Xenopus tropicalis: one gene and its partner. The protein of the gene in region 2 interacts with the protein of the main gene of each other region in a pairwise test. Links are inferred from orthologs where the notes say so. Each region holds a gene or a part of one and is shown on either strand. Other genes may lie near its edges.

Region 1 (4,106 bases), on a different chromosome or scaffold from region 2:
GTTGCCATACTGCAGTGCGGGATGGTCGGGGTAAACTCGACGGACACTGTGCTCTCCTCATCACTTACCTGAGGAACAAACACGCACAGTAATAGGGATATTCACTAAGAGAATTTAGCTCTTCTGTTAGTACATAACATTTACTTATACTGGGGGGGGGGGGGGGGGGGGCCATAGGGTAACAAGCAATTTGCACCTTCACTCGAATTTCTTCAACCACGTTTAGTTCCTCCAGCGTAAGTGGGTGTTCCGGGTCATTTATACAGCGAATCAGATGTACCGGAATTAAGGGCAATGGAAGGGAAAGCAAGGAGTAAACTCAATAAGTAGAACATGCAAGCTACCAAAGGGTTAATGGGCCAGTGACATTATAACTGGGAGTATGTGTATCAGTTTTATTTGATAGGAGCAAGTTTCATCCTGAGTTGGTGCCTATATGAGCCCAGCTCAAGTTCTGAAATATTTGTATTGCAAACAGCGTCTCCTGTACCTCCAATATACAGGGGGGCCCCGCTGGAACATGAATGGCAGCCCCCCGGCTACACAGCGAATTCCTTATACACAATGACTAGCAATGCTGGGTAACCGCATATTAAATTCATTAACAAAAAACTTGCTTTGGTGCTACTTGCCCTTTACAATAAATGTGGAAGGTTGTTGAGAGGCAGTTAGAGGCTGGAGCTTGGGGCTGATATCGGAGAATGAGTGAAGGGATTGGGCAATTGTTGGGGCAAATGGATAGGGAAGGGGCAGTTGCAAGGGCAGATATACTGTATATGAAAAGGTCAGTATAAGTATGGGGCAGTTACAGGGGCAGATAGATAGGGAAGGGTCAGTATAGGTATGGGGCAGATAGATAGGGAAGGGTCAGTATAGGTATGGGGCAGATAGATAGGGAAGGGTCAGTATAGGTATGGGGCAGATAGATAGGGAAGGGGCAGATAGATAGGGAAGGGTCAGTATAGGTATGGGGCAGATAGATAGGGAAGGGTCAGTGTAGGTATGGGGCAGATAGATAGGGAAGGGGCAGTATAGGTATGGGGCAGATAGATAGGGAAGGGGCAGTATAGGTATGGGGCAGATAGATAGGGAAGGGTCAGTATAGGTATGGGGCAGATAGATAGGGAAGGGGCAGATAGATAGGGAAGGGTCAGTATAGGTATGGGGCAGATAGATAGGGAAGGGTCAGTGTAGGTATGGGGCAGATAGATAGGGAAGGGTCAGTATAGGTATGGGGGCAGATAGATAGGGAAGGGTCAGTGTAGGTATGGGCAGATAGATAGGGAAGGGGCAGTATAGGTATGGGGCAGATAGATAGGGAAGGGTCAGTGTAGGTATGGGGCAGATAGATAGGGAAGGGTCAGTGTAGGTATGGGGCAGATAGATAGGGAAGGGGCAGATAGATAGGGAAGGGTCAGTATAGGTATGGGGCAGATAGATAGGGAAGGGTCAGTATAGGTATGGGGCAGATAGATAGGGAAGGGGCAGTATAGGTATGGGGCAGATAGATAGGGAAGGGGCAGTATAGGTATGGGGCAGATAGATAGGGAAGGGGGCAGTATAGGTATGGGGCAGATAGATAGGGAAGGGTCAGTATAGGTATGGGGCAGATAGATAGGGAAGGGGCAGATAGATAGGGAAGGGTCAGTATAGGTATGGGGCAGATAGATAGGGAAGGGTCAGTATAGGTATGGGGCAGATAGATAGGGAAGGGTCAGTATAGGTATGGGGCAGATAGATAGGGAAGGGTCAGTATAGGTATGGGGCAGTTGCAGGGGCAGTTGCAGGGGCAGATAGATAGGGAAGGGTCAGTATAGGTATGGGGCAGATAGATAGGGAAGGGTCAGTATAGGTATGGGGCAGATAGATAGGGAAGGGTCAGTTTAGGTATGGGGCAGTTGCAGGGGTAGATAGATAGGGAAGTGCAAGTATTAGGATGGGGCAAATAAATAGATAAGGGTCAGTATAGGGATGGGACAGGTAAATAGGGAAGGGTCAGTAAAGGAATAGGGCAAATATATATAAAAGGGTTAGTTTCTGGGGCAGATATATAGGGCTGGGGCAAATAGATACGGAAGGGTCAGTTGCTGGGGCAGATAGATACGGAAGGGTCAGTATAGGAAGGGGGCAGTTGCTGGGGCAGATAGATAGGGAAGGGGCAGTATAGGAAGGGGGCAGTTGCTGGGGCAGATAGATAGGGAAGGGGCAGTATAGGAAGGGGGCAGTTGCTGGGGCAGATAGATAGGGAAGGGGCAGTATAGGAAGGGGGCAGTTGCTGGGGCAGATAGATAGGAAAGGGGCAGTATAGGAAGGGGGCAGTTGCTGGGGCAGATAGATAGGGAAGGGTCAGTATAGGAAGGGGCAGATAGATAGGGAAGGGTCAGTATAGGAAGGGGGCAGTTGCTGGGGCAGATAGGGATAAGACTGCGCTGAGTGGATGACAGCCCAGGGCAGTAGATTTGGGGGGGGGGGGGTATTAGGCAACAGTACGAGGCAGTTACCCCCATGGGCACAGGCGGATACAAGGGGCAGGAAGGACACGGATATTATCGGGAGAGGGCTCTATCCCCCGGTTGCTAGGGAACAGGCAGGGGGTGAGCCCGGCACTACGCCCATGGGTACGGCTCATATACGCGGAAGGATATCAAAGATCTCCCGGTCATCGATCCGGTCCGGCGCGTCCTCATCCTCCTCCTGCGCTGTGACCTGCCGCTCCCCCGCCCGCCGGTAAATGAGCGGATTCGCGTTCTCCAGCTGGCTCCCTCCCACCATCCCCGGACCCTTATTCCTACCGTACCACTTCCGCCCTCACCACGCCGTGCGGGAAATGTTTCCGTCTGGCAATAGGCACCTCCGCCTGCCATTGGCTGATTCACCCGCAGCGGGCCAATCACTGGCCGAGCCTCTTGGATTGGTTTGCAATGCCTACCAATCACCGGCTGTGTGGAAAAGGGCGGAAAAGGAAAACGCCATGTTTTATCCTGGCAAATTAGAATCAGAATGTATAGGTTGGTATGGTTCAGCCCGGAAACCGGAAGCCTTAGCTATTGGCTTGGTTACACTAAGTGCTACCGTCAGGGTTACCGGGTTGGCGGCTTTTCCACCCAATTGAGCTACTAACTAAAGCCCAGGTGGGTTTCCAAAGTACAAACCCGCTAAGGTACAGATTTGGGCTGTTTCTATGGAGCCTTGGCGGGTTTGTAGTGTGGAAACCTGGTAAACCTGACGCACCTGTCCCACTGCATGCTGGGTAATGTAGTTTGTATCTAACAATTAGCCTACAGCTAGGATTAATATAAGTGAATGAATGAATCACTAGGGGATCAGCCCCTGCCCGGCCAACTCAGCCACCTTAAACATACAGTATCATAGCAACAAGCAAAGGTATAGCCACTTCTCTACTGGATATTTCCTACTGCCCACGGGCCCATCTACGTTCTACCAGTCATTGCCCACAGGCCCATCTATGTTCTACCAGTCATTGCCCACGGGCCCATCTATGTTCTACCAGTCATTGCCCACGGGCCCATCTACGTTCTACCAGTCACTGCCCACGGGCCCATCTATGTTCTACCAGTCATTGCCCACGGCCCATCTATGTTCTACCAGTCATTGCCCACGGGCCCATCTATGTTCTACCAGTCATTGCCCACGGGCCCATCTATGTTCTACCAGTCATTGCCCACGGGCCCATCTACGTTCTACCAGTCACTGCCCACGGGCCCATCTATGTTCTACCAGTCATTGCCCACGGGCCCATCTATGTTCTACCAGTCATTGCCCACGGGCCCATCTATGTTCTACCAGTCATTGCCCACGGGCCCATCTATGTTCTACCAGTCATTGCCCACGGGCCCATCTATGTTCTACCAGTCATTGCCCACGGGCCCATCTATGTTCTACCAGTCATTGCCCACGGGCCCCATCTATGTTCTACCAGTCATTGCCCACGGGCCCATCTATGTTCTACCAGTCATTGCCCCACGGGCCCATCTATGTTCTACCAGTCATTGCCCACGGGCCCATCTACGTTCTACCAGTCATTGCCCACGGGCCCATCTATGTTCTACCAGTCATTGCCCACGGGCCCATCTATGTTCTACCAG
Region 2 (4,260 bases):
CATGTCCCTCCAGAGTGGTAATGCACTACAATAAAAAAAAAAAAACATAAAACTATTACTGTTCATTGATAATCCTATCGTTTAGAGGGCCGCTATAACTTTTAATCATTCCGGCTGATTTGTGCTTTATACTGGAAAAAAGCAAACTATTCTAATTGTAATTTTTTTGGTATCTCTAGAAGGTTTATTGAAAACTTTAGGGGGCTGTCAATGCTAATGCTATGAGAATACAAAGCATTGCTAACTGAATAAAGATAATAATTTCAGACCATACCTCCTTGTCAAAGGACTGCTGTACCTCTAGAAATACAGTAGCCCTGCAGAAGTAATAAAGACATTTTTATTGTAACAATGGGAAATATTATACTGTGTATATTGCTTTGTATCACTGTAACCACACAGGGGACGTCCAGGACACAAATGTGGAGTACAGAGAACCTTTACTGGACTTTGAAAAAAACAGTCCATAAATGTGTCCTGCTATATTTCCTTGAAATAGCACATAGCCTTGAATTTCTGGTTTTACTGGTTAACAGGCAGGTGGCTGGCATAATAAGTATTCTTTTCTTAACACTGACAGAATGCCAATGTGGTGCCCTTTCGCGAACTTGGTTCCTTCTTTGCCAACATCCCGCAAAGCCACTATTTGCAATTAATAGGATATCTTATAACCCAATCACCCATCGATTAACACCCCACCCCAAAAGAAGAGAAGAGCTTCTTGCACACAATAGGTCACAGAAGAAATCCTTGTATCTAGATCCTTAACTACTGCACTCAGTCCTTTACATTGCTTCTGTTACCTACCTCAAACTCCTCTTTCTTCTTCATCCAGATGCAAGTGGTGGCATCAAAACTGGCAGAGGCCAAATAATTTCCACAGGGTGACCAGGAAACTTTCCGGACCGTGCGCTGATGTCCTTCACCGAGGACTGACTTGCATACCCAGTTGTCCCCTGAAGAACCAAAGAAAGACACATTTTAGCTTAATAATACACAAGAAGAAGGCTTTACTATACTAAATCAGTTAGCAGCAGATGGAAATTGGCATTGTCTTTTGACAAAATAATGTTGGTTGCCTAGAGCTTTAAAGTAACATGAATGTAAGGGTTTGGCATTGGGTGAAAACTAAACATTCGGCTAAATTCTGCAAAACATGTTGGGGTACGGCTGAATCCAGAACTGAATCTTGGATTAAGAGGATAACTAATAAGCACTTGGCTGCTTTCACATAATCTAGTATAAAATTATCTTGTGTGGCTCCATTGCAGGCTGATTGTTGGGTTAGGGCCACATATATCTCTGTGGTTGGTGGCTTACTGCACTCTGCAAATAATTAATTTTAGGGGCCACCCCAAACTTAAGGGATAACATATTTTCCATTAATAATATCCAAACTGCAACCCTTATCTCTCCTGGTTCACCTTGCAGTTATGCCTTAGTCATTGGCACTAACATCCCCTAAGGTTTTAACTTGCTGAAATGATTATGTACCAGGTAACAGTTCCATAACTATACACTAAACTCACCATCTTTGCCCCAGATCCGGATAGTACGATCTCCCCCGCAGGAAGCCAGTAATGTTCCAGAGGGATTCCATGCTAAAAACCAGCACCGGGAGTCAGGGTGAGCGCTAACCCGAGAGAGGAGGGTGAGGGTGTCCTTCATTTTGGGGTTATTCTGCAAAATTACAGACAAAAGCATGCTTAACCATCAAGATACCAGTTCCTTACCTACAGTATTTACCCCATACCTACATTTTCCATCATCCTGACAGAGACAAGTCAGGTTGGATAAACTTGCTATGCTCCTTCCCTGAACTAAATCTGATGCCAGCATGGCCAGGGAATCAGGGACTTTCCACCTAAAACCTAGGTGCTTTGCAGGTATTCCATTGGTATCTGACCAAATGCAGGTCTGAACCAGGGACAAAAGCAATGCTTCCCATATAACAGATTAGATGCAGTTCAGAAAGAACAGTAGAGGGGCACTTTGCAAGTCTCTCCTCTATATATATATACTGGAAACAACTTTTGCACAATAATGTTGTATAATTATTCTACATATTGAAATGATGTTAGCGTTAGACCATGAATATCTATAGCATGACAGTGTGGCTAGTCTCCAATAAGAGTGTAAAGATATTAAAAAAATGCAATGTTTGCCCAAGTGCAGTAACTCATAGCAACCAATCAGATGTCTGCTTTAAAACTGGTCCCTACTAATTGCTTGCTATGGGTTACTTGCCCTGTCAACCAACCCCATGTCATAATGGAGCTAATAATTCTAATAATAAACCTAAATCCTACTTCACACTTAATGATAACATGAAATAAGGCTTGAGAAGGCCTGGAGTAGATCATTATCTCCCTCATGGCATGGGGTTAGTTGTCACCTCTGTATTTGCTTTGTATGTTCATCTCCTTCCCCCTCCACCCTGGGGGGCCCACAGCAAATGCCCTTTTTGCCCCAACCTGCAGGAGGCCCTGCCCCACTGCCCCTACTATGGCCACTTGATATTCTGTGTTTGTTCTACCAATGCACATCACGTGTGTCAGGGCCACTGCTAAACCCAATTACTTATTTATGAAGGAATACTGCACCTAAGTATATATATATGTATGTACGTACGTGTATATGAGCTGTATGAGTGCCACAGCTTTTAAAGTTAGCCCACTAAAGGCCAAAGTCCCGGCCGCCAAGAAGCCCCCCAGCACCTCTCTCTACGCTTTTAGTCTCCCCTCACCGCCTTTCCTACTTCTCCGGGCTGCGCCTGCGCATAACTCGCAGCTCCTTCCTGCTTCTCTGGGCCGCGCCTGCGCACAACTCGCAGCTCCTTCCTGCTTCTCTGGGTTGCGCCTGCGCACAACTCGCAGCTCCTTCCTGCTGGTTAAAAACTACACATCCCGGAATGCCCTTCTGTGGTACAAGGAAGGTGTTACGTCATGATGACGCAGTTTGGAGGCGGAAGTCAGCTGTGCTGAGGTTCGAGGTCCTGGGGGAGAGAAGGACCGGGAGCTGCGGTGAGTAAATCGATCGGTTTGGCGCCTGGGATCGACACCTTTGAACTCTTTTACTGTTCGTGAGGAGAGAGGGAATAGATCAGAGTAGGCCGCCGTATTGCCTGACATCTTGGCTCCGGTAACTACAAGTCCCAGAATCCGTAGCTGACAGTAGAGCGCTTGGGTTGGAGTTTGGAGTCTCGGAGGGGTGACTCGGCAAGCTTAGGGTAAACTAGAACTATACAGCCCCTTGTACCGGTAATACTGCCATGTCTATTGGCAGCTTTTATTTCTAAAGCGCCGACGCGTTCCCTGGCGTTGTACAATGCGGATTTGGCGCAGCTGTTCGGTGTATCCCCCAGCAGCCCCTTTGTTATGAGGCGGCTCTGTCCCGAGTGGGTGGGTAGAATGTGCTTAGCCAATAAAGCTGCAGCTCAGAGTGGGCTCTATTGCTGGCAATGGGTTAGAGCTAAGAGGAGACTTGATCTATTTGGGGTAATGTGTAACTTTGTAACAAATATTTTGGCTGTACAATTAATTAGGGACAACCAGTCACACAACAGCTGAAAGGTTGGGTTGAACTTTATTACTTCTCTGGGTGGCACCAATCCTGCAATGCCTGGGGGCACAAGAACATAGGGGTCCCTACATTCTCCTCTGGTTCCCTCCCAGGGGTGTCATCCACAGGGACCCTAATGGGACAGGAGGGGGTTCCTAATGCTAGTACTCCAATGGGTTCTGGGTGTGCTTAGGGGTTCCCATCACCTCTTCTGATTTGCCATTTACCCCTCAGTAACACCAAAAAATAAAAATGTTTTTAAGTAATCATAATACAATGCACTGTTGCCCTGCACTGGTAAAATTTGCACATTTGCTTTAGAAACACTTCTATAGTTTATATAAAAAGTTGCTGTGTAGCCATGGGGGCAGCCATTCAAGCTGGAAAAAGGAGAAAAGGCACAGGTTACATAACAGATAACAGATAAAACACTATTGTATTGTACAGAACTTATCTGTTATCTGCTATGTAACCTGTGCCTTTTCTCTTTTAAATGGCTGCCCCCGGGGCTACACAGCAGCTTCATTTACTAAACTATAGTAATGTTTCTAAAGCGAATACAGTAGTAGTAGTTCCTTTTATACACTTTTTTGGTGTTACTGTTCCTTTAATGATTATGGCTTTTCTTTAGATTCTGATTTGTTTTTCTCACTGTTTCCTCCTTGCTTAGCCAACACCTATTCATGTACAGCCAGTTGT

Evidence for each region. The genes of interacting proteins can lie anywhere in the genome.
Region 1: the proteins of ciao1 (region 2) and ciao2b interact in binary tests that used the Homo sapiens proteins (3 or more experiments, as listed by UniProt). The two-hybrid records come from large-scale screens. The link is inferred for Xenopus tropicalis from reciprocal best matches to the Homo sapiens genes CIAO1 and CIAO2B.

What each region holds. Positions count from the first base shown.
Region 1 is NC_030681.2:7,564,513-7,568,618, reverse strand, and holds the start of ciao2b (mitotic spindle-associated MMXD complex subunit MIP18), read right to left. Parts: upstream 2,801-4,106; 5' UTR 2,773-2,800; coding exon 2,646-2,772; intron 277-2,645; coding exon 197-276; intron 69-196; coding exon 1-68.
Region 2 is NC_030679.2:125,065,746-125,070,005, reverse strand, and holds the start of ciao1 (probable cytosolic iron-sulfur protein assembly protein ciao1), read right to left. Parts: upstream 2,801-4,260; 5' UTR 2,632-2,800; intron 1,681-2,631; 5' UTR 1,669-1,680; coding exon 1,530-1,668; intron 957-1,529; coding exon 808-956; intron 26-807; coding exon 1-25. UniProt on the Homo sapiens protein: Key component of the cytosolic iron-sulfur protein assembly (CIA) complex, a multiprotein complex that mediates the incorporation of iron-sulfur cluster into extramitochondrial Fe/S proteins.